Linked DNA regions of Notamacropus eugenii. The protein of the gene in region 1 purifies or fractionates together with the protein of each later gene. This does not show direct contact. Links are inferred from orthologs where the notes say so. Each region holds a gene or a part of one and is shown on either strand. Other genes may lie near its edges. The genes, in order: KPNA4 and KIF22.

Region 1 (12,682 bases):
CTGGGTAGCAGAGTGGGCAAAGCACTGAATCTGGATTTGGGAAGATATGAATTCAAATCCAGCCTCAAACACTTACTGACTATGTGATGCTGGGCATGTCATTTAAACTGTTCGCCTCAGTTTCCTTCTGTAAAATGAGGATAATAATGTACCTCCCACCCAGGTTATGAGGATCAAAAGAGATAATACTTGTAAAGTGCATTTCAAACCTTTAAGGGCTATGTAAATAGTAGCTATGGTTATTAATAAATATCACTGCCATCTCCTGCCACACTCTCCCACTGCTGCTGCTGTTGTAATGTCCTGTTTGGAACTCTTCCCCTGGAGTTAAGCTGTCCTGACAAGTGAGACCCCAATTCTATCCAGCCTGCTCCTGACACTTGGCTTAGCTTCTCCCTGACTATTTTTCTGTTGGACTGCCCTGTGGGCACCTCCTCCTGCTCAAAATACTACCACCACTGCTGCTTTCAGAAACAGCACGTCAAAAGACTGCCCTAGCTCTGACTCTATTTACCAACCCTGGGACTATTCAGACCAAAAGGCCTTCTTTAGCCATCACTCCCTATTAGAAGAGAAACTCTTGGAGGGCAGGGAAGGTTTCCATTTCATATCTATATCCCTAGCATTTAGCATAGTGCCTGGCAAACAGTAAAGTGCTTTTATTTTTTTATTCATAAACATGGTGGAGGAAGAAAAAAGGAAAATATGGCATTACCTGGAATAACTTAGAAGCTGTTTAATTCAATCCCACCAACATATTCATTGTATATGAGACTTCCTCTGAATTAATTAGGATACCAGTGAGCTACCATCCCACAAACAATTGGATAGTGGATAAGAAAAGCTCTCACCTTTAAAAACGTAATGACTATGTCTCTGAATGCTACAAAGTATGTATCTTTGAATGCTTCCTGAAGAGGTAACCCATTCAACTCAATGCAATGATCATTTCCTAAGTGCCTATCATGTATAAGGCTCTGAGTCAGGTATTAAGAATACAAATTTCAATCCTTAGGTGGAGGAAATCAAGAGGGAAAGTGCTTGCTACATCTAGCGGAGCTGAGGAAAGGCTTCTTGCAGAAGTAGGCCAGGAAGTCAGGAGGTGGAGCTGAGGAAAAAGAGACATGGGGGATAGTCAGTCAAAATGCAGAGCTGGACAAAGACGTGCTGGAGTGACTCGTGCAGAGAGCAGCAAGACCTCTGTCACTGGATTGCGGAGTATGAGGAGAGAAGCAAAGGTAAGAAGATCAGAAAGGAAGGGCTTTACAAGCACAACAGAGGATTGTATATTTGCTCTTGAAGGTAACTGTGAGCTTCTGGAGTTTACTGGGTAAGGAAGTGACCCGGTCACATCTGAGTTTTAGGAAGATTAATCACTCTGATACCTAAATGGAGGATGAACTAGAGAGAAGAGACACCTGAGGCACGGAGATCAATTAAAAGATTACTGAAATACTCTAGGCATGAGGTGATGAGAGAATACAGCAGAATCACAGTGTCAAAGGAGGGAAGCAAATGAGACCCTAGAAAAGGAGAAAAAGCAGGACCAGGCAACAAATTAGATGGGAGGAAGGGGGGAAGCAGTCATGGTTCATGTCTGGGTGAGCTCTGACAGGAAGAGGGAAGTCAGGAGGGGGCAAGGAGGGTTCAGTTTTAGGAATGTTAAGTTGAAGATGTCTACTGGATACATAAACCCAGAGTTCCAAGAGACAGTTGGAGATGGGAGACTCTCTAGCCAGATAAGGCTAGGGTTGGACAGGGATGACAACAGACACCATGGGAAGTGACTGAGAAGAGGGCCCAGAGTTAGTGGGCATGACCTATATGAAGATCCACGGAATGGAACAGTCAAATAGGAGAACTAAGAGAGGAGAGTGATTAGGGGTGCCAAAGGTCAGGAAAGGTGAGGAGGATGAGGACTGAGAAAAGGTGGGTAGGATCCTGATAGTTCAAGTTAGAGGCAGAGTTGTGCTTTAGGACTATTAGCTTGGCAGTGTGGTGAATGAAGGACAGATTGGAGAGGAGGGGGATATTAGATAAGGAGGAGGCTATTATTAAACTAGTCTAGTCATTAAACACTTGACAAGTATTTATGAACTACATATTGTGATCCTGTGAAAAGGCTGGATTCAGAGTCTGAGAAGCTGGGTTCAAATCCTAGCTCTGCCAATTATTATGTTACCCTAGATAAATCATCTCCCCTCTATGTACCTTAGTTTCCTCATCTCTAAAAAGAGAGGGTTAGACCCCCATGAGCTAAGGGAGCCCAGCCATCTCTAAATCTATTCCTCACATGCAAGGTATGAGGGATACCAGTCTTGGCCCTCAAATAACTTACAATCCATTGGAAGGAAAAAAACCATACACAAAGTCAATACAAAATAGATACAAAACTCAAGGTCACTAAAAGCTGGAAGGATCAGTGAAAGCTTTGAAAGGAAGTGGCCTAAGCAAAGGTTTGAAAAAGGATAAGGACTCTAAATGGTAGTGGTGAGAAGGGAGTGAATGCGAGGCATTGGGGGACAGCCTGTGCAAAAGGTATGGAGGCAGGAAATGCCCCTCCATCTTGGGGAAATATCAAGTGGGTCAGTTTGGCTACAGGAGAGAAATGAGCAACAAGCCTGGGAAATGAGAGCCAAAATGTAAAAGGCTTTAAAAGTCAGGAGTTTGACTTTTATTTTAAAGGTAAGAGGAAGACACCAGTGTGTATTATGAATATTAATTTGGCAGGTACACGGAGGATAGACTTGTGAGGGAAAAGCCTGGATAAGGCAGCTGTTACACTATAGTCCAGGAAAACAGTGGTAAGGGCCTACCAAATGAGCTTAATTGAGAAAAAAAATGAGGATTTCACTAACTCAGACAATATTGACTCAGATTATCTGAGATTATCCTCATGTTTCGAAATTATAAAGTACTGATGCAAAGTATAAACTACTAAACCAAATTTAATCTTTGGTTCTAGGAATTTTAACTGGAGACTTTTGGGGTGGGAGTAATTTAGGAAAGGATACATAGAAACTTGCATCTATCTACCTGAGAACCTTGAAAGCTTTCTTTTTCTTTAAATGAGAACTAAATCCAATATACTTAAAGGAAGTTAGGTGGTACAGAAGCTAGAAAGGCAGACATGGAATCAAGTGATCAGCTTGGGGATCCTATGCAAGTCATTTAAACTTTGTGTGTCTCCATTTTCCTTAATGAAAATAGCAGCAACTGCCTCCCAGAACTAGTGAGGATCAAATGAGATAACATGTGGAAAGTACTTCACACAGGGCCTGGCACACAGTAAGTGCTATAGAAATGCTTACTCTCTTCTTTCTCAATAAAAAAATGGGCACAAAGAATACTATAACTACAGGGACTTTCTAAGTACAGTGTAGTGCCCACTTTTATTAATAGTCATACAAACTCAACTACTATCTCAGGTAAGGTTATGAAAATAACATCCTTGCAAATACAGCTACAGACTGCATTACAAACCTCTAACAAGTGCTAGCCCTATTTTTCAACCCTAGCATTATAAACTTCCACTGTGTTTCTTAAAACCACTAGCTATTGTAATTGTAACCTTCCCCTCTTCATACAAAATACAAGAAGAGAGGTAAAAAAAACCAGGAAGGCCAAGTTTACATTTCTGATTGCAACGAAAAGAGCAAAAATGCCACTCTGCCACAGCGGCTGACTTCTTGGGGTGGTAGCAGCTTACAAGTGTGAGGAAGTCAGCCTGGGGTAAAATCAAATTCCCTCATGAGATTTAAAGGACACAAATAACAGATTTCCATTGTACAAGTATTAAGCCAAATAAATCTAAGTAAAACTTCTTTTAGGGAACTAGCAAAGGAATGCTTAGAAATTTAAGAACTATCAGTGATAACCAACTGGTCAATTACCATTGTCCAAAGTGAGGTAGAGAATGATTGTTTCCTCATTGTAACAACAGCCAGATTAGGCACATGTTGCTTTAGGGCAAATAGTAAAAAAAAAATAAAAATAAAAAATTAAGGATTCACTTATAATATGATTTGTCAAAGTGTAACTTAAAATGAAGACACAAGAGTTTTGTTAGCTGACATGAGACTTAATTTTGTACTAAAAATGAACGATGAAGAAAAGAGAAAGCTGGAGTTCACATGAAACAAAGTATCCCTAAGCCCTGTCAGCAGAGAATGTTTACTGTATTTACATGCATAGTATCTTACTTACCAGGTAGTGGGGAAACTAAACTAGAGCTTATGCTAGAGAAGCTTTTACATTGTCGGGAAACAAAATAAATGCAGGTGTGGTCAAATAACGCTAAATATTACAAATACAAATAGAGCTATATTCTCATTCTCTCTCTCCTGTCCCCTAGGTGACAGGTTTTCACTTGAGTCCTACAGATAAGGAAGCAGACACAAACAAGTCCCACCAATGTGCTACTACCTAAGGTAAAACCTGTTAAAACGTAAAGATGGGAGGGATTATCATTACAAAAGGGCACATTCATCTGACTGGAACCGCAGAGATAAAAGGAGGTATGAACACAGTGGAAAAACTATGAAGAGAGGAAGCTTGAGCTTCCAGTCCCCCTTGGAAACCTTGGCAGCCCCAGTGCTGTGGAGCAGTCACTTAATCACTAACCACCAAGGCCCAGGCCAATTTTTGAAAGCAAGTTGCAGAAAGAAGGTACTGGCTTGCACTGGTTTAGTTTCTTCCCCCAGCAGTTCTCTAAACCACTGAAATCATAGGTACAGTCTTCACCCTACTTAAATTTTGGGTCCCAATATAAAGATTATTTTAAATGACAAGCTGAGATGCCAAGGCCAATCATGAACAACCCATCTACGACTTAGTAGCTAAGTCCCAGGGAAAACAGCATCATAGATGTAGAGCTGAAGACCCACCGGACACCATCAAGTCCAACACCATCATTTTATAAGTGAAGAGACTTGACCAATGTCATACCAGGCAGTAAAAGCAGGAACTGAATCCAGATCTTCTGACTCCAAACCAACACACTGTCCATTTTGTCCCTCCAATGATGGCTCCTTGAGGCATGCAGAGATTAAGTGACTTGCCTAATAGGATTTCATAGAAGATATCTGAACCCAGGTCCTCCTTACTCCAAGCCTCGGATTTTATCTCCCCATATCTCTTCTGTTATATTTAACCTGCAAATGAGTGTTTTGAACTGTATATTCTCATGTGTAGAAAGCACAAACAATATACACCAACCTTTCTACAAGATGAAAATACTGCTCCCAGTAACCTTATACACTTTTTCTCACTTTTAATAAATGACTAAGGCCCATGTCAGTGACTAATGCTTAAAAAAAAAAAGGCTGAAAGTTGCTTTAGTATTTTACTATTTAGCCTGTAATTATCACTATACCTCTTCTCACTACTTTGGAGCACTTATTAAAAGAGATTAGTACACATGAAAACTAGCTTTTAAAAATTTCATTTAAGGAAAATGAGTAACATCTTCATGTTTGTAAGTGTAACTGTTCTGAAACTCATGTTGTTAACATGAATTACAGGTAAAGTAAAAGATTAATTCATGGGAAGTACAGAAAGTTAATTCTCAACTATATTTTTATCAACTAGAATTAAACATTAGCAATACTCAGTCAGATGACATTTTCTAACCAAAGATGTATAAATATTTTATGCTGGCTACAAGCTTGATCTATAGTTTTAAAAAATAATCACATACAGCAATTATTTAAGTATTGAACATATGTTTTAAGATTTGTGATGAGAGGTTAGTCTCTAAAATTTAACAAGACCTAGCAGCTTAACAATTACTCTATACTGAATTTAGTGACAGGTCACACCCACTCAGACTGTGCCTATACAACAAAATTTCTAGTCACCTCAGTTTAAGAAGCTCTAGGCCCTTTTCATAATTTAAACAGATGACTTCAAATATTCATAGTAACTTAGCTTAAAAAATTATCTGTTATGTGGTCATGGCCATAATTAGGGAGGAAAGACTTAAAAAATTTAACACTAGAATTTTTAAAAGGTCATAGAAAATATTACAACATTTTATATTTTGAGTAAATTGTTGTTTTAGGCCCTGCTTTTTGTAAAAGAAACCCAATCAGTTTCAAATCATATTTAAGTCTTTAAATTTTGCAGACACGTGACATCCATGATGTCATTTAAGCCTTACAACAACCTTGTAAGGTGAGTCCTAGAGATATTGTTATCCCTTGTTTACAAATAAAAGAAACTAAGACCCAGAAAGGTGAAGTGACTTGCTCATGGTCACACAGCCAGTGAGCATCAGGGGCTGGATTACAACCCAGATCTGGCAGACTCCACTTCCAACACTCTTCCCAATTTATCAAGCTTCACATTTATTTGTTCTTCAGTTTATTTGAATTTTTCTATTGTCAAGTACTATTTAAGTAAAAATGTATGAAAAAATTTTTTAAAAATAAATTCCTACAAGAAAATTCTACCATATGTTATAAGAATAAATCAGGTAAGTTTTCAGTTTAAACTACATTTCCCTAGGAAAGTTGTTCTAGAAGCCTGGACACTCTCCACTTCCTCTGTTGCCTTGTGTCCCTCTCTATGGTTACTGTCTGCAACTGAACAGTGATACTATCACACTAAAAAAAAAAGTAAAATATGTTTTGGTTCTGTTACCTGAAGTTCTCTGAAAATTATTCTGAATAGGGTGGGGGTGGGGGAAGAGGAGGAGTGTTAGGGATCAAAGGTAAGAGAAGGGGGAGCTTACAGATACTACCAGTTAACACAAACTGAAAACTAGGGAGTTCAGACAAATCATTAGGTTGTACTTAAAATGTCCTTTAACTTTTAGTAATTGGAAAATGAGTATTTTTTGGTCCATTTCCAGGGATTCAATGTAACTTAGGAACTGTAACACAGAAAAACAATGAAGCAAACTAGCCGACCACTTTGAATCTTATTAAATACTTCATTATTTACTAAATGAATTTATTAAAAAAATATTTTGGGGCTCCTTCCAAACTCCATGATGAATTTTGAAAGTGAGGAAATGTCATGAGGATTACAAGGTATCCTAACACTAACCTTCACAGCATTCAAGAAGCAGAGGTCAGGTTCCTCCAGCCTTATAGATGAAAATACTACAGGCTAAGCCATTTGCCAAGGTGTAAAACACAGACTTCCGAGAAGAGAATAAAACCTGAGGATTCTTGACTTCATTCACTACATATTACTAATGAAATGTTGAAAAAATTCAGTTATATGCTTCCTATATTACATATTTCTTTTCTAAGTTCCTGGAATATAGGCAATGGAGTGATCATGGTAGCTTTTCCACCTAACCATAAAAACTAACTTCCCCGGTTTTTCTCAAACGACCCATAAACCATACTTTATTTAAAAAAAACTTGCGGTGCCTGTCAAGACTTTATTGAAAAGACGTATATAACAAGAGGCACACAAGATACATCTCTGTATGAATGCTGGGGTGGGGAAGCAAGGATCCCTGCTTAGACCGCGCACACTAGCACAAGGCAGGCCTGGATTCCCACCTACGGTCTATTACCGGTCTTCTGCGGCTTTGAGTAAGTCACATCTACTTCGTATGAAAGCTCAATCTGATGGACCAAAAATGAGAATGGGGCTTGGTGGCCACAGGTGCATCCCTTCATATCCTCTCGTATGGAAAGAGAAAACATTCCTTTCCAAACTACAGTACAGGAAAATCATGCTTACCCGGATGCCTTTAAGTCTCGAATCTGTTTAACGTACAACTAGAACAGTGCTAGGGAGATTCAACCCTATTAGGACTTGTCTCAATAACAGAATTTTTCCATCGCCCAATGACTTTCAAAAATACTTCCAATCCTTCAGCTAACACTTTACCCGCCCTCCCCACCCACTGAACTGGGACCCTCACTCCAGCGGACCCCCTCTAGAACCCCCTACAGTCAAGTTGGAAGTTGGGAAAACTCTGGGAGGAGGAGGCCGGCCACTTTCGCCGCACGGAACTCCAATCGAACGGCCCAACGACGCCGGGCCCCGAGGTCCGGGGGAGCGCGCAGGGGGCACCTCCCGGGCTCCCACGCGTGGGCCCCGGCGCTGACAGCTGCGCTCCTGGCCCTCGGGCTGTTAGAGGGCGGGCCGGGGGGCCGGCGACCCCGAGGCCGAGGCCCGGCTGCGGCCCCGCGCTCCACGCGGCGCTCCCGGCTCCCTCCCGCCCGCGCCGGGCAACGAAAGCGGCGGCTCGGGGCGGGGCGGGGGCCTAGGCCGGGCCTCCCTCCGGCGGCGGCGGCCGCGGCGCAGGCCCCAACTTCCAGGCACGTTAGCGGAGGCGTCACGAGCGGGCCCGCCCCCCGCGCCACCCGCCGCCGGCCCGGCCCGGCCCGAGCAGCCCCGGCCCCGACCCGGCCCCGACCCGGCCCGGCCCGCGGTGCGCACGCGCACTCACACTCGCACACTCACCTCACACTCACGCTTGCACACGCCCGCCCGGAGGCTCCCCTCACGCCGGCCCGGCCCCGGCCCCGGCCCCGGCCCGCGCTGCCGCCCGGCCTCCCCTCGGGCCCGGCGGCGCGGCGCTCACCTCCAGGTCGCGGCCTTTGTTCTTGAAATTCTTGAGCCGTTGGTTGTCCAGTTTCTCGTTGTCCGCCATGGCCGGGCCGGCGCCTGCTTCCCCCGCCCGAGCCCCGCGGGATCCGCCCCAACCCCCGCGCCGCCCCTCCCAGGGCCGCCTCAGCTGCCGCCCTCGCCGCCGCCGCTCGTCGCCGCTCGCCGCCACCCGCCGCCGCCCGCCGCTCCAGCCGAGAGAACCCGTGCGGTGCCGGGCAACGGCGGCCGAACGTGTGCGCGGCTGCGGCTGCGCCGGCTGGGGCTCCCGCTGCCGCCGCCGCCGCTGCTGCCGCTACTGCCGCCGCCGCTCCCGCTGCTGCTGCTGCTGCCTGCCGGCGGAGAGGGGGAGGCTGCCTCGATCTGAGGGCCCCGGCGCCGCGGCCACGCCCCCCGCGCCAGAGCTGCGCGCTCATTGGGCGGCCGGGCCCGGGCGTCGGGCGAATCAGCGACGCCGAGGGAGGCGGAGGGGCGGGAAGGAGGGAGCGGGGCAGGGGAAGCCAAGGGCGGGGCCGGCCCAGGAGGGGAGGGGAGGCGGTCGGCCGGAGCGGCGCGGGAAAGGGAAGGGCGGGGGAGGGGAGAAGGGGGCGGGAGTCTTCGCCCGCGACTGCCTCTTTCACTTTCTTTACTCTCGGCCGGGCTTTCCCTGGCTCCGAGATGGCGCGCTGTGCCCTCGCTCGGCGTCCTCCCCGGGGAGCCCCCCTCTCTTCTCTCCCCCCTTTCCTCCATCTTCCCGCTCTTTATCTTTCTCTTGCTGGCGCTCCTGCGCTCCCAGGGAGCGGAGCCGAGCCCCCGGGCCTGCTGGATTCTCCCCGCGCCCAGCCGCCCAGCACGGGAGCAGGCCGGGGCGGCCCACCTGGCGCGCCTCGCTGGGCCGGGCCTTGTAGGCTTTGTAGAGGCCCCGGCCTCCAGCCTCCCCCGCCCTGTCTTACAGGCGGAACGGCCCGGGGGGCCCCCCGAGATCCGGGGGCTTGCCCAGCCCGGCCGGCAGCCGCCTCCGGGACGCCAGCCCCTGAGCGTGTGGGGGTCCGACGGGAGGGCCTCTGACAGAGCAGGCCGGGATCCGTGCGGGGCGGCCGGAGGCGACGCCCGGGACCGGGCGGTAACACAGTATCCGCGGTGAGGAGCGGGAGGAGGTCCACGGCGTCGACGAGTCCCCGCGGAGCGTCGGACTTGAGTGGGGGTGGGGAGGAGGTGCGGACAGGGGAGCGCACCGTTACCGCGGCGTGCCGGCTGCTGCGCCCAGCGCCCGCCGGCCTCCTTGGGAAGTTACCATGATAGCAGATACTCCGGATTCCTCCCCGCCATCAGAGCAGAGGCGCCAGGGAAGGGGCGGGACCCTAGGCTTGAGGGGTAAGCCGGTGCCCAGGCTGGGGGGTAAGCCGGTGCCCAGGCTGGGGGGTAAGCCGGTGCCCAGGCTGGGGGGGTTAAGCCGGTGCCCAGGCTGGGGGGTAAGCCGGTGCCCAGGCTGGGGGGTAAGCCGGTGCCCAGGCTGGGGGGTAAGCCGGTGCCCAGGCTGGGGGGGTTAAGCCGGTGCCCAGGCTGGGGGGTAAGCCGGTGCCCAGCCTGGGGGGGTTAAGCCGGTGCCCAGGCTTGGGGGGGGCGGACTCTTGGGGGAAGTTTCTGCTACGGGGGCAAAAGCCTTCCATTCCCGCTGAGAGCCACGAAACCCTCGCCAAGTGTAGATCGGGTAAGACCAGGAGTCCAAGGTCTGCCCCCCGACGGGAATATTGCGGGGCTAAAAGGGGCAGCATGTAAACCGCTTCGCAGACCTCCAAGGATTATTGTCCATGACGGATATCTGACCGAAGAGGATACTAAAACACCGGGCACCGGAGCTCAGGAAGAGTCACAGAAGGGAGAAAAGAATGAGAAGAAGGACCCCAGCCCTCGAGTAAGACCAGCTCTCCCCAGCCAGAGCTGGATAAGGACACATTTTTTACGTTCTCCCACAGATGTGTATAACTACTACGAATGATTTAGAAAAATTCCTTTTATTTTTAAAAACAGGAACTTTATTCTAAAGGAATTTCATCCTAGAAGACTCATGAAGTAAAGCATGATCGTACCATGTATACGAACTGAAGATGAGAAAGCGATAGAGAGACAAGGAGTTGTTTACTAAAATTTCTCTAGGGTGAAGACCAAGCAGGACCCAAATAACCACATTACCAGAAAAGCCCCACCCTGTCATTGGACATCATCTTGCCAAGAGGCATCTTATAAACCCTGGTCCACATGAGCATCCAGGCAGTTCTTGGAGCCAATCCCAGCTGGAGTTTCATGGTTGTGGGGGCTTCTCACTCTCCGGATGGACCCTTCTGAAGGAATGACCTTGGGCTTCTGGGAATAGCTTTCCACTGGGAAGTCCCGTCCCTGACCTGTCTGGAATGTTTAGGAGGAGTTGTACCTTTCATTTTTTGTTTTTTACTAAGAGAATGTCAGCCATCAGAATGCCATATCAGGAAGAGCTGTGGTTTTAGAGGGAGAGAGAGAGGGCCAAAGTTCAAAGTCTGCCTCTGATATTACCTGTAGGACCTTGGGCAGGACATTGATCCTGCCTGGGATTCAGATGAGGTCTTGTATTCCCTAGCCTCTAGAATCACTTTCAGTCATCTGATTTCCATAACTGGGGACAAAGCCTTTCATTCCACAGTTAGAGATAAGACCCATTAAACCATCGCTAAGTGTAGATTGGCATCAAATTGGGTAAGACTTGGAATCAGGAAAAACTGAGTTCAAATACTCCCCCAGACATCCATGGTGTACCTCATATGTTTGATGGGGATGATAATATGATGTCCACCTGTTGAGTTTGGAGGGTCTTCTCAGTTGTTAGCACCTTTCTCCCTTATGGCTACCTTGCATCTACTCTGTATTTGAGAGAGAGGAAGAGGGGGAGGGGGGGAGAGAGAGAGAGAGAGAGAAAGAGACATAGATGGTAGTGGGAGATAGATGATAGAGGTAGGAAAATATTTAGATGTTAGAGGTAGGTAGGGAGAGAGAGAGAATGAGAGAAAGAAATAGCCTCCCCCATTAGAAAATAAGCTTCTTGGGGGCAGAGGCAGTTTTTATTCTTTGTTTGTATTTCAAATGATTAGGACAATACCTAGCACGTAGTAAGTACTAAACAAATGCTTGCTGAGATTGATTGGCCTCTACATTAAATGATATAAAGAGCTCCTCATATGGATGATGCAGATCCGCACTTCCTCTATATAGTCTTGGAAGATCTGGGGACACGAAGAGGTCAAGTGACTTCTCTGACTTCACACTACAAGGTAGGGCTTGAAACCAGATTTTCTGGACTCCTTTCCTGTACCATACTGCATCTGGTGCCACTGGCCACAGGTCATCTATAGGCTGGTCTAAAAGCTCCACTCAAGAATTGACACTCCTAGCAGGTGAGGTCTCTAGGGCATCAAGGAATAAAGATTTTTAGGCAACTGGGAATAACTATAAAACAAAGTAGTGGGAAACAATTGCAAAGAAAAGTCTATGAAAGTAACTCATTTCTAGCACGGAAGTTTTCGATTCTTATATTTAAGATATGAGACTCCAGGTCCCTGTAGAATTCCCAGATCTAATTTAGACTTAAGGGCTGGGTAGAATTCACAAATCTTAAGTAGCCACTAGACCCCCTTAAAATTCCCAAATCTAAGATGAATTCCAAGCCCCTGTAGAATTCCGAAACCTAATTTAGACTAAAGGGCCCTGTAGAATTAATTCCCCAAACTTGGGTAGATTCTTGGCTCCCATACTGTTTGTGAAAGAGATTCCTTAGTGCAGAAATGATGAACATGTAAGACGCACTGAGACACAAGAACCCAACAGCTTCCAGGAAATTTTGTAAAAGATTCACTGATAAGTGAAACATTTGAAATAGTCCTTCACAGAATCTGATTTTGAACTGGGAGGGACCTTAGAGGTCATCTCCAAGTCCTTAATTTTACTGAGGAGGAGATTGGAGGCCAGAGTCCTCCAGGAAATGACCAAGCTGTCAGCTGAGCTTGGGTCTCTGGACTCAAAAGCTAGACTTCCTTTCACTGCTCTCCCAGCTGTCTGCAGAAATGGAGACTCTTCAATGGCCACTCAGGGTTAACTGGAT
Region 2 (12,484 bases), on another chromosome or scaffold:
TAACAGAGATGAGAGCTAACAAGAGAAAACATCACCATTACTTGTACCCTCTAGTCTTCAAGTGTACAGTGAAAAGGATCTACAAACACATTTATGGATGATACTTAACACTATCTTCCTAACAGCAGAATTACCAATATATGCAGAATTACCAATATATTACCAATATATGGGACAAATAGTCCCACAGGTTTACCATCCCACATTTCTTACTCTAGCTGAAATGTCTTACATATATGGAATTTTGCAATCAAAAATATACTCATGTCCATCATCTTACTAGATTTTCACTAGATCCTTGTGAGGTAGGCAATGCAAGTATTGTTTGTTTTCCATATTTACAGGAAACAGCCATTAAGTATCAGTCAGGCTCAGCATTTAATGCTCTTTCTACATTGCCTGGGAATTATTAAGAAGGAGTAAAATGGCCTGATATGTCTTTCATATCTTAAAAGATCCCAAGGGGCAGTGGACAAGAGGAAGAATATTGTTTTTATACATCCATTTTGGTCATCTTTGCTTCACCAGTCTCACCTTCCACCTCTTCCCCATCTTGCTTTTCAACTTTGTTTTGTGTATTGTTTTCCCATTTTAGATTATAAGCTCCTTGAGGGCACGGACCTTTTTCTAAATTCATATCCCCAGTGTTTAGCACACAGTAGGCACTTTAAAATATTTATTTGCTATTGATTATTTAACAGACACTGCTGGCCATGCATTGCTTTAATTTAGGGTAATTCTTCCTTGAAAGATGTAAATTTTCATTGATACAGGTAAATCTAACGCAAATTATAACCATTCCATAACTTAAATGCTCTTTAAGTTTTTGTGATCAAAATAAAATCTATTATCCTGTGACTCTTCTGGAGTTGAGCCTCCCTGAACTTGGCTACACTGGCTGTTGGACGTCATATTTCACCCATCACCTTGGCAGGATCTATCAGAGTTTGTATTCCATTGGCATAGCCTTCAAGAACCTAGGACTACTTCCACACTATAATGAGGAATCAGGTTAGGCCCTTAGTGAAGGTTTTATTGAGTGCAGGTGTGGTGTAGTGGGAAAATAACTGATCTGAGAATCAGAAAGACTGGGTTCAAATCTTGACTGACAATAGCTACATGACAAGCACCAATACCTCTTTGAGTTTCAGTCTCCTCATGTGAAAAAAGGGGATCATAACACTTACTCTGTATATGCCATACTGTAAGAGTAAGAAATAAGACACTAATCCTAATTGTGTGAGGAGACAAAAAAGATAGTTTGCCCTCTGGGACTTAGTGCCAAGAAAGATGGTTGGATTGATGGGCTCCTGTGATGAAATCCTTTATTCACTAGGTAATACACACCAAAGAGTTTGATTCAGACTGGCTCCTTTGGGGAATCAGCCAAAAAAAAAGGAAATGTAAACTTAGGCAAATCATTTTCCCTGTTTCACCCTCTGTAAAATATGACCCTTTTATTTTATGGGGTGGTTATTGGAATAAAATGAAAATATGGGACTGGACCTGTGATTTCAATGGTACAGAAAATTCCTCTACCAAAATAGACCTGTACCTTCTCTGCAGCTTCATAGCTAGTAATGTAAGGTTTTTAAGTACTTTACTTACTCATCTCATTTGGTCATCACAACAGTCTGGTGAAGTATGTGCTATTATCATCCTCAGTTTATAAATGAAAAAAACTAAGAAGTGGCAGAAGCAAGATCTGAACTCTAGTTTTGAAATCCATTGCTCTATTCACTATACCTGTAGCTGCCTCATGGCTAAACTTTCTATTTTGTAGACTCCTAGAGCATTGACAGATTAAGTCAGTTGCTCATCGTTACATAGCTGGTAGTTCTATGGGTGAAACTTTGAACTTAGGTTTTCCCAGCTCTGTAGATGGCTCTCTGTTTACTCCGCTAAGCTGCCCCATTGTGAACAAAATAGAAAATAAAGGGCGGGAAAAAGCTAATCAATCAAGAAGTATTTATTAATGTAATTGTTAATTGACCCCAAGTATTTATTGGAGAAAAAAAATTGTTGGTCCTCCTTGCCCATAACTTATACTCACCTCCCTATCTTTATTTTCTTCCCTTTCCAGAACCCAAACAACTAGTACTCCCAACACCCTTTCTCCCAGGATCTAAGAAAGTAAAGATTATAATCCCAAAGTCTTCCCTCTGAACCCTATCAAGAGGGGTCACAGAGAGAGGTCTTGGATTTAGTTCTGTCTTGAAGATCTTAAATGAAGAATGAAAAGAGAAGGGAAGAGGAATACATTAGCAGGGTGAGAGGATGGAAGGGAAAGGAAGATCAGGGAAAATTATCTCACATAATCAGGGCGCACAAAGAGAAGTCTACACAAGCAAGAAAGAAAGGGTTGAGGAAGCAGCTGACACTTGAACCTCATTTTTATCTAAACTGTTCAAAGGGAAGCATCGTTACACACACAGATACAAGTGGGCACAGAAGTACATACACACAACAAAATAGGAGGGGAAAGGGAGAAAAAGAAGGGTAGAATAAGGAAGGGATTAGTCCTAAGCAAAACAAACTCTTAGTAGGTATGTAAAAAAAAATACAATCCTTTGTGGTGGTAAAGAAGTGGAAAACTATGGTCCTTTTCAACTGTGGAATGGATGGAAAAATGATGGTATAAAAATGTGATGGAAATCTATTGTGCTTTAAGAAATGATGAAAGGGGTGGTTTCAGAGAAACCTGGACTCTGATGCTGAGTGAAATCTATACAAGCAAGTAAATTTATATAAGGAAGACAGACACTTTTGAAAGACTTAAGAAATGTGATCACCATAATGACTAATCATCATTCCAGAACTCACTATGAAACATGCTACTTGCCTTTTGATAGAAATGAAGGACTCAGGATGCAGGATGACACATATTTTCTTCTGGACATTGTCAATGTCAGGTTTTTTCTGTTTTGTTTTGAAGAGATACGGGAAACCTTAGAGATTAAGAGCCTGGACTGTAAGCTCAGCCTCCTGACATCTAATTAGTTCAGTGTCCTTTTCATTATACTACAGGTCTCTCTAAAGGTACAAGTCTAGTTTTTAGAGTCAATAAGCATATGTAAGCCTGACATATAGTAAGCACTTAATAAATGCTTGTCTACTGACAAAAGAATAAATAGAACCTGAGAGAATATAATTAAATGCTAACTTGTAGGATATGGCCCATAAATGTTACAGGTGATCAGCAGAAACCATCAGAGAGTGATCAGAAGAAATGGAATGTTTAAGGAAAGCACTGGTCCCTAATGAAAAGGTCTGCATGTCTATGGTAGGGAGTCAAGCTAGGAGACAGTACCTTACCAATCAGGAGTTTGTAAGAGGAACAAAGAATCCCAGCTGTCACTCTATCTGTGCCTGGCAACTCATTTAAATGTCTCTGAGTCTCAAATCCTCATCTCTAAAATGAAGAGGGTTGTTTCACATGCCTTCTAAGGCCCTTTCCAGCTTACTTTATCATCCTGTGATCCTAAGAGTAATCCTCTAAAGTGTCATATCTATGACAACTTAAAACGCTTAAACTTAAAACTTAAAAATGGGCTATTTTGCTTTGTGCATAGAGACAATATAAATTATCTGGTTTTCATTCAATGATTGTTAGTACTCCCTGTATTGAATATCTTCAACTTATCCTGCATATACCTTTGTTTGTACATAGTTGTTTTCATGTGGTCTTGATGGGGAACAAGCTCAAACCAAGACCTTTTCCCTTTGGATGGGAAGAGCTTTGTCACATTTGTCTGAAGGGCCCTGGGCAGTCTGGCCTTGGGGGACAGGGAGCTCCTTGGATTCCCCTTCCATTTCTCTCAGGTCAGATACTCTCTTAGGCAGATAACAGATAATAAATAGATAATCTTCTATTTAGCATTCTTTCCATATTTCTCTCTTTGATCCTATTACCAGCCACTCCAATCAGAATCCTCCCTGGGTTTGATCTTTCAAGACCATCCCTGGGACCCCAGACTACCTGGCCACACCTGGATGCTTCCCTCAGTCTTTTTCTGTATTTAAGTTCCATCTTGCCTCCATGAAGGCGCTCAGACTCTGTCTAGCTGAGATTCTATCTGGCCCGCTAGTGAATACAAACGTTATAAATGCTTATAAAGGCTCCTTAACAGTCAACCCAAAATGGCGAATCTTTAATAAACTTTGTTTTTGGGGGCCTTAAGAAGGCTAGTGTCGAATTCATTCGAGCAGGACCCGGTGTCTGTATTTCGGGGTCCCCCAGCGCCCCTCAGACCTCAACAGTCTCCCCTATTAAAAGTGAGCTCTGTGAGAGCAGGGGCTGTCACCGGCCTCTCCTGACTTACAGGTGTCTGGTTTGTCACTGAGTCCTCTTCCTCCCCATCTGTCCCACGTCAGAGCTTCCATTAGTCTTCAACTCCACTCTCATTTCTAGCTCTGGTCTAGTCCGGGATTCCCAACTCCTGAACCCCGCTTCCCTTTGGGGAGATACGGGGCTCCCTCCTTCAAGTCTCAGACCCGCGAAGGGAGGCATTAACAACCCATTCCACACTTCTCTCTCCCCACCCTGGGGGAAGGAGGGCAGAGAAAGGATCCGGGGGCGCCGGAAGGAACGCGCACGGCGTCTTCTGCGCCTGCGCCTGCACCGCGGGACCGACCCCACCTCCCTTCTCCCCATCCCCCACCCCGCGCGCCCGGGAAACCTCCAAGGGATAACCCAGAGAAGCGAGCCCCTGCTGAGGCAGCGTGGGCCATCCTCGGCCCGCAGCTGCCCCGAGCGCCCCTACCTGCAGCCGCAGCTGCCACCGCCATCTCTCGGGCTTCTGCTTCGCCGGCCGCCCCCAACCCAACTCCTCTTCCACAGAGCTGGTTCCTTTCGGCATTCGAATTCCCCGGCGGCTCCGCCTCCTCCGGTCCTTTCGACCAATGGCGAGCGTCAGGCCGGTTGAGGCGCCGGAAGGGGTGGGGTCGTCCCCAGCCGCCCTCCCCCCCCCGCCCCCGGCGGAGCCCTTTCCGACAGGGCTGCAGTTGTGGCGTCTGCGCAGGTGTGCGCCCCTGCACTCCTCCCGTCCTCGAGTCCGGGCGAGCTCCTAGGGGGCGGGCTTCGAGGCAGCCCCGCCCGTCCGCTCCCGACGGGGGCTCTTCCGGCCCCGGAGCCAGCTTTGGGCCCGGGCCCTCTTCCCTGCTCGCTGTGCTTTCTCCAGGGCCTCTGCCGCCGTCCTCCGCTCCGGCCGCCCCGTAGGCCTCTCAGGCTGGCCGCCCCGCGGACCTCCCAAGTTCCGCAGATCCAGAGCGGGGTCGTTACCTTTTCCTCTCACGCTTCTCTCTCTTCCGGACGCCCCCATCCTCGCCGTCCTCCAGCCCCAAACCTAGGCGTCCTCCTCGCTCTCCCCTCCCCCCTCCCCCCTCTCCCCTCCCCCAGGCAATCCCATGCGGAGTCCTGGGATTTCCACCTCGGTAACGTAACCTCTCCGTGGCCCAGCCCCTCCTCCCCTTCGACCCTGCCCCCACCCTGAAGCCCACCCTCAGCTTCTCCGCGCTTTTAGGGTCCGCTGGCTCAGCTCCGGTCTGGCGGACTGTCCACTCTCCTGTCATTCGGTCCAAGATCCAATGTAAAATGCGCCGGCATCTCAAAGCCTTCCTTCGTTCTTGTTACACCTTACTCTTTCTCCTTTCCCCTCCACCCGCGACGATCCAGTGACGCCGGCCCCTTTTCTGTGGCTCTCCATCTCCTGACTTCATGCGTTTTTATTGGCTGTCTGTCCCCATGCCGGGATCCTCTCCACCGTCTCCACCTCCTTCTGGCTTCCTACAAGAAGCTCTTCCCCCGTCTTCTTCAGTGCTAGCAGTGCCTTCCCTCCGTTAATTACCTCCCGTTTATCCTGTCTGCATCTTGTTTGTACTCAGTTACTTGCACGTGGTCTCCCGGGTTAGCCTGGGAGCTCTTGGACAGTAAGGACTGTGTTTTGGCTTTTCTGTACGTGCCCAACACCTTAGTACAGCACCTGGCACGTAGTAGGTACTTAGTAAATAACGATAAAAATAATTTCTAGGATTTATATGGCATTTTGAGGTTGGCAAAGCCTTGGCAAATATCTCCTTTTATCTTCACAACAATCCTGAGAGGTAAGTGCTATTGTTATCACCCCCATTCTACAGAGAAGGAAACTGAGGCAGGCAGAGGTTAAATGACGTACTAGGAAGGGACCAGGGCTGGATTTGAGCTTAGGTCTCCCTGACTCCAGGCACGGTGCTCTATCCACTGTGCTTTCTATTCCTGTCTAGGCCTGGGTAAAGTGGTTTTAGATTATTGTGCATCAGTGAATAGGTAAGCTACCCAGGACATGCATGCTAGGACACTGGTGAAGAGAGAGCTCTGTTCTAAACCACTCCCTGGGACCGGGCACAACGGAAGTCGTAACTTAAGGAGAGCATGACTGCAGCTCCACATCTTAGAGTAACATCAAGGGAGCTGAGGACATTACTAATTAGTAATGGGTGGGAGCACCTTGCTGGCTCTCATCATTCTTGCTCGTAGGGAAGTGGATTGATGTTTCTAAGTTCAGATTTGTCAAGAGCCACCACTCCACAGGATTTAGTGTTACCAGCAGAGCATTATCTTGGCTAGCAGGAAGTTCCTTCTCCCTACAATGGCACATTCACTGAGTTGATTTGTTGAACCAAAAACGAAACCAAAGGTTTCTGCTCTTCCAAGTCAGTGCCAAGGTCACCAAGCACGCTAGAGACAGAGCCACAATTGGACCTGAATTCTTTTGATTCCCAAGTCAGTGTTTTTTTAACCATTATACCATACTTCATTATTAGAAATTTAATAAACTTAATTCATACAGCAATTTTGAAACTTACAAAATAATTTTCTCCAAACTCTATGAGGTAGGTTGTATAAATATAATTTGCATAATTTTATAGTGGAGGAAAGCGAAACTGAGAGAGCAACTTGCCTCTCGTCAATCATATTGCTAGTGAATGCTTGTTTTCTGACTAAATGGTAGTCAGGATTCATAATATTTGTAGCTAGAAAGGTCCTTAAAGATCATCCAGTTCCGTGATTCTCAAACTTTTTTGTCTCAAGATCCCTTTACATTCTTAATTGTTGAGGACCTAGCAAGGAATTGCAAATTAAGGGGATGCTCATCAATTGGGGACTGGGTGAACAAGCTGTGAATCCTGTTGTGCTACAGGAAATGATGAGCAGGATGCTCCCAGAAAAACCTGGAAAGACGTTCACGAACTGAGGCAAAGTGAAATGAGCAGAGTCAGGATAATATTTTATACAGTAACAGCAACATTGTGTGATGATCAACTATGAATGACTTACTTCTTCTTAGGGATAAAATGATACAATTCTGAAGGACTTAGGATGAAAAATGCTATCCATCTCCAGAGAACAAACTGACAATCTGAATCCATATTGAAGCATACGTTTTCCTTATTTCTTTATTTTTCTTGTATTTTCTCTTTTCTTTCACAACATGACTGACATGGAAATATGTTTTGCATGTTTTGACTGCACATGTACAACATGTATCAAATTGCTTGCCTTCTCAATGTGGGGGCAGGGGAGAGGGAGAGAGAAAGTTTGGAACTCAGAAATTAAGAAAAAAGTGTGTTAAAATTATTTTCACATGTAAATTGGGGAAAAATAAAATATTAAAAAATTATTTAGGACCTCACAGAGCTCTTGTTTATCCTGATGAATATCTGGTCACTGGATTCAGAAGGCTCTGGAGGAGAAGTGAGGCTAGTGACCTGCACAGCCCTCACTCACTCAAAACAAAGTCAACTGCAAGTCATGTCATCATTTCTCTGATGGCATAGTCTTCTTCGGTAAGGAAGGACAAACACAATTCTGTGAGTACATGCAGCTGGCTGAATGGGAACCCAGCTAGCTGGGTAACTCAGCTCCTCTTCTCCTGTCTGCCTCTCCCCCCTCCCCCCTTCCTTCTCCTCTCCAAAGGAAGGTAAATTTGGATGGCCAAAAGATGCCCAGTTGACTTGGGTTTTACTGGCTAGTTTCCTTTCGTTTCGTTTCCTTACCTGTCCTGTCCTGTCCTGTCCTTTCCCTAAACCTCAAACCTACTGCACTCTGAAGGTGGGATGCCAATGGGCCCCTGCCTTAAGGCTCTTCTGGACCCTCCTAGCTTTAGAGTGATTATCAATAGTAACTGTTGCTGTTTCCCTCCCAGGCTGATGTCTTTCTTTTTCTTGACCTCATTAAAGGGGCCTTGGCTACTTCTTAAACTGGCCTATTCAATGAATGGGTGTTGCCTCATCCTAAGTGAGTACCTGCAAAGAGCATCTGGGATCATCTCCAGTTATCCTGATGAATATCTGGTCACTGTATTCAGAGGGCTCTGGAGAGGTGAAGCTGGTGACCTTGTACAGGCCTCCCTCACTCAAAACAAAGTCAAGTGCAAGTCTTGTCATCATTTCTCAGATGGCATGGTCTTCTTCCACAACAAATGATGAACACAATATGGTTATTTCTAACTGATATTTACCATATTAGAAATTAAAATATCTTACCATTGTAATGAACATAATTGTGACTTCAAGGACCCCCTAAAAGAGTTTCAGGGGGCCACCAGAGGTCTCCTGATCACACTTGGAGAACCACTGATTGTCCAACCTCCTTATTTTCCAGATGTAAAAACAGGCTCAGAGAGACTTAGTAAGTTACCCAGGATCCTCCAGGAGGCAAGATGCAGTAGAGTTGGCACTTTAGGCTCAGCAGTTTTTTCCCTACAACCACACTGGAAGTTGGGAACAGGAGCATAACTGGTGAAACGGACCAATTTTAAAATCACTATTTTTACATCTGGCTTTAAGGTTAACAAAGCACTTTCCATCTGATCCTCACAACAACCCATAAGACTCCCTGGGTTGTGTGGTTTGATGTAGACGTAAGGCAACAGAAAGTCAGGGTCTCATTGTGCTAATTATGTAGCAAGAGGATGTAAGAGTGGCATTATCTACAGGTGGCACTCTACTGGAGCCACCAACCCAGCTTTCTCAGTTTCTTGGGCAGGATAGCCAGCCTAAGAACCTGCAATAGCCTGCCTGGCCAGTAGGTGGACTACAGCCTTCAAACACCTGGGCTGCTCAATCCTTTCACCCCCCTCCCCTTCCCAGGAAAGTTCATGCTATAGCAGGGCTCGGATTTTGTTCAGCAGTTTGGATTAACTTCTCATTGGCTGGTCCAATATTAATCTAGGGAATGAAATGGAAAGTTGCTCCAAATGTTGAAAAACCAAAATCTGACACCTATATCTAGCTCCTAATCCCTACCGGGGTTTTTCTTGTTGTTTAGTCATGACCCATTTGGGGTTTTCCTTGGCAAAGATACTGGAGTGGGTTATCATTTATTTCTCATTTTTGGGATGAGGAAACTGAGTTAAGTGATGTGCCCAGGGTCATACAGCTACGAAGTATCTGAGGTCAGATTTGAACTCAGATCTATCTCAACTCAGGACCCAGTGCTCTATCCACTGAGCCATCTAGGTTCCCCCCTCTCAACGTATTGCATACTGCACCCATAGATTTAGAGACAACATGTTGTGATCTTATAGCTTATTATTCATAATAGAGTAAACTGAAAAAGAAGCTAGATAACATACTTCTGAATGGTAGCATCCTTTTCCTGACAGTTCCCAAAATGTCTCCCAGTTGTTCTTCCAGATATTTGAATGTGGCTCAGAGAAATCCTGACCACAGTAGCCTGTGGCCCAAAAGAAAGGAATGAGGGAAAGGAGAGTCTGAGTCCTGTCTCAGGGATCAGAGATCAGAGATAGGGGAAAATCAGTGAAGACAGTGAGTGAAATCAGCCCAATGGGATTCATAATAACTGATAGTTTCTGCTCCTCTGGATCTTTTCTCTCGTTATGGCTTCCAGCTCTTTTCTCTGCTTCTGATCAGGAGGTTTTCAGATGTACTGGCCTACAGTCACTTTAGTTTCTTGACATTGTGCCTGCTGCCTGGTACTTGTTGTGGTCTGCACCTATTTGCCCTCTCCCCTCTCACTCATGGAAGCCTGCAACGATAAGGTCAGGGGAAGGAAGATAGGAAGTAAACCCCACAGTGTGCATATCACTATATATATATGTCCTCATGCAATCCTATGTCTTTCTATTCTAGAACATAGCCAATGCAGAACACTGCCCTGACCTCTGTGGCAGCCTCAATTCTGATAGTGTGTTTCACAAATGCTGTTTTGTTTCTCTCCCTTTGTAAAAAATTCTTGGACTGCAGAGTCTCCACAGAGGTAAGAAACAGTGCAAAAGCATTGGGGACATAAAAGTTAAATGTGTTCTTGCTCATTTGGTCAGAGGGAAGAGTTTCTGATAGTGGCCTTTTCCAGGCCAGGACATGGGAGGATCTGGGGCCATAGTGGAGTTTCAAGAATTCTTGCAGAAATAATCATAAGCTTCCCTATATATTGCAAGAGAGAAGTGCAGGGATAGTGTTCCTGAACCCCAATTTTTTAGGCAGTATGATCTTTTAATCTAGCTTTCTAGTTGACAAGGGAGATTTCTTGAGTATCACCAGTCTTGGAAGTTGCCTCCAAAGTATTCCCAGATTCAAGAACTGCAAAGCAGATCCTCTAGAAAGAAAAAGGATTTTGCAGAAAGGGATCTTGTGGGAGAAAGAACAGAAACATCTACATGGCCCTATATACAGAGAGCTGCTAGTATAGAAGACCTATATGTTATTGCCCATTTTAATACCAAGTTTTGGAAATATTTTGGGAATATTTCTCTTAGTGAGAAAGGAATTGTCTGCCCAGAAATCGCAAAGTGTGTTTGCCTTCCAGAAAGAGTCCAAATCAAAGGGTGGTACTATATGTACGAAAGGGACTGCTTAACTCTCTGGAATTCTTTGGACTGCCTGATGGTAGCAAGTTCATTTTCCTTTGGAAGAGCTTCTAGGCTACTATGAATACTAACTGCATTTTCTATGTCTATTTACAGACTCCTGTGAGACTTTTGTATTTCTTTGGAATAAAATACTGTCTTGTATCAGACATGCATTTATTACCTCGAATGTTTATATCATACCTAGGGAATTTATCTGCATCTGTGGAAATCTAGACATATGTTATATTTAAGCTACATATGGTGACTCAGAGAAAATCTGGAGAGGGGTATAGGAGCCAAAAGAGAAAATTGCTTTTAGGGGCCAGACTCTAAGATTAGACCTGGTCTTTGTGAGCCTGAAACTTGGAGATCCCCAAGTCATGGGTTACAAAATCATGCTGTCATCCTTCTCTTCTTGTGTCAGGGGTTATCCTCAGTCATCCTCCTCTTCTGGGGTCAAGATAACTTCTGGACTAGGAGTGATCTTAGGGTCAGAGCCCCAGTTCTGGGAAGGATAATCATAGACACTTAAAATGTTAGAGCCATAAGGAACTGTTGAGATAATCAGGGCTTATCTCCCTATCTCACCTGTGAGGAAACTGAGGCCTCTCAGAAACTGAGGAACTTGCCCAAGATCACAGATTTAGTATCAGAGCTGGTACCAGAACGTTGACTTCCTGTTCAGTGCTCCTTCTAAGTCACATTGCTGTCAAGATTTAGGGTTCAGAACAAATGAGAGAATAAGGTCAGGAGCCTATTAGGGAAGTCACACAGACTTGAGGGAAAACAGGCTGTTGTACATGGCAGCAAGGGTAGACTGAAAAGTCCTTATAGTAGTTGGTAATTTGTGTAGCACAAGGCAGTTTATAAAGGCCTTTACATACCCTAACTCATTAAAGCCTTTCCACAGCTCTGAGACACTACAATGAGCAGTGTTTGTTGCAGAAGAACACCATGCCATCAGAGAAATGATGACATGACTTACACTTGACTTTATTTTGAGTGAGGGAGGGCTGTGCAGGTCACCAGCCTCACTCCTCCTCCAGAGCCATTAAAGCCTTACCACACCCTCTGAGGCACTACAATGAGCAGTAGTCATTGATTAGAAGAGAAAAATGAACCCCAGGTTTAGGTGACTTGCTTGTGGTCAGACACATAGTAAATGTCAGAGGTGGGGTTTGAATCCCTATTATCTGACTCTGTCCATCTCAAGGTTGAGCAAGCAAAAAAAAAAAAATCTATCTTAGGATGAGGAGGAGAGTAGGAGAGCAGAACTGGAGAGGAGCCACAGCAACCATCTCCATACCATCTCTAAAATTCCAGGTTTGGTAAACACTTCCATCCCTGTGTTCTTCAGGAAAAGATGGTCCTTGCTAGGCCCTTATATCTGCTCTTGAGAAAATGTCTTTGATATACATTATCTCATCTGAACCCAACCACAGCCCTGTGAAATTAAGATAGATAATGTTATCTTCATTTTATAGATGGGAAAACAGGCTCAGAGAGGGTAAGACTGTTGGAGATACCCCCAAGCATCCTTTGGCCTAATGCCAAACAGAATTACTGAACTTTGAGGTTCACAGATACAAACAAAGGCACACTTGCTCTGGGTTAGAGGCACACAATGGAAACAC

Evidence for each region.
Region 2: the proteins of KPNA4 (region 1) and KIF22 purify together in Homo sapiens (affinity purification with mass spectrometry; 3 studies listed by BioGRID and IntAct, counting the BioPlex papers as one, with this or other methods). This does not show direct contact. The link is inferred for Notamacropus eugenii from reciprocal best matches to the Homo sapiens genes KPNA4 and KIF22.

What each region holds. Positions count from the first base shown.
Region 1 is NC_092877.1:364,764,338-364,777,019, reverse strand, and holds the start of KPNA4 (importin subunit alpha-3), read right to left. Parts: upstream 5,124-12,682; 5' UTR 5,041-5,123; coding exon 4,948-5,040; intron 1-4,947. UniProt on the Homo sapiens protein: Functions in nuclear protein import as an adapter protein for nuclear receptor KPNB1. Binds specifically and directly to substrates containing either a simple or bipartite NLS motif.
Region 2 is NC_092872.1:47,022,448-47,034,931, forward strand, and holds the start of KIF22 (kinesin-like protein KIF22), read right to left. Parts: upstream 5,679-12,484; 5' UTR 5,572-5,678; coding exon 5,500-5,571; intron 4,893-5,499; coding exon 4,764-4,892; intron 4,588-4,763; exon of another isoform or gene 4,384-4,587; coding exon of another isoform or gene 4,323-4,383; intron 3,835-4,322; exon of another isoform or gene 3,681-3,834; coding exon of another isoform or gene 3,655-3,680; intron 2,949-3,654; coding exon 2,843-2,948; intron 1-2,842. UniProt on the Homo sapiens protein: Kinesin family member that is involved in spindle formation and the movements of chromosomes during mitosis and meiosis. Binds to microtubules and to DNA. Plays a role in congression of laterally attached chromosomes in NDC80-depleted cells.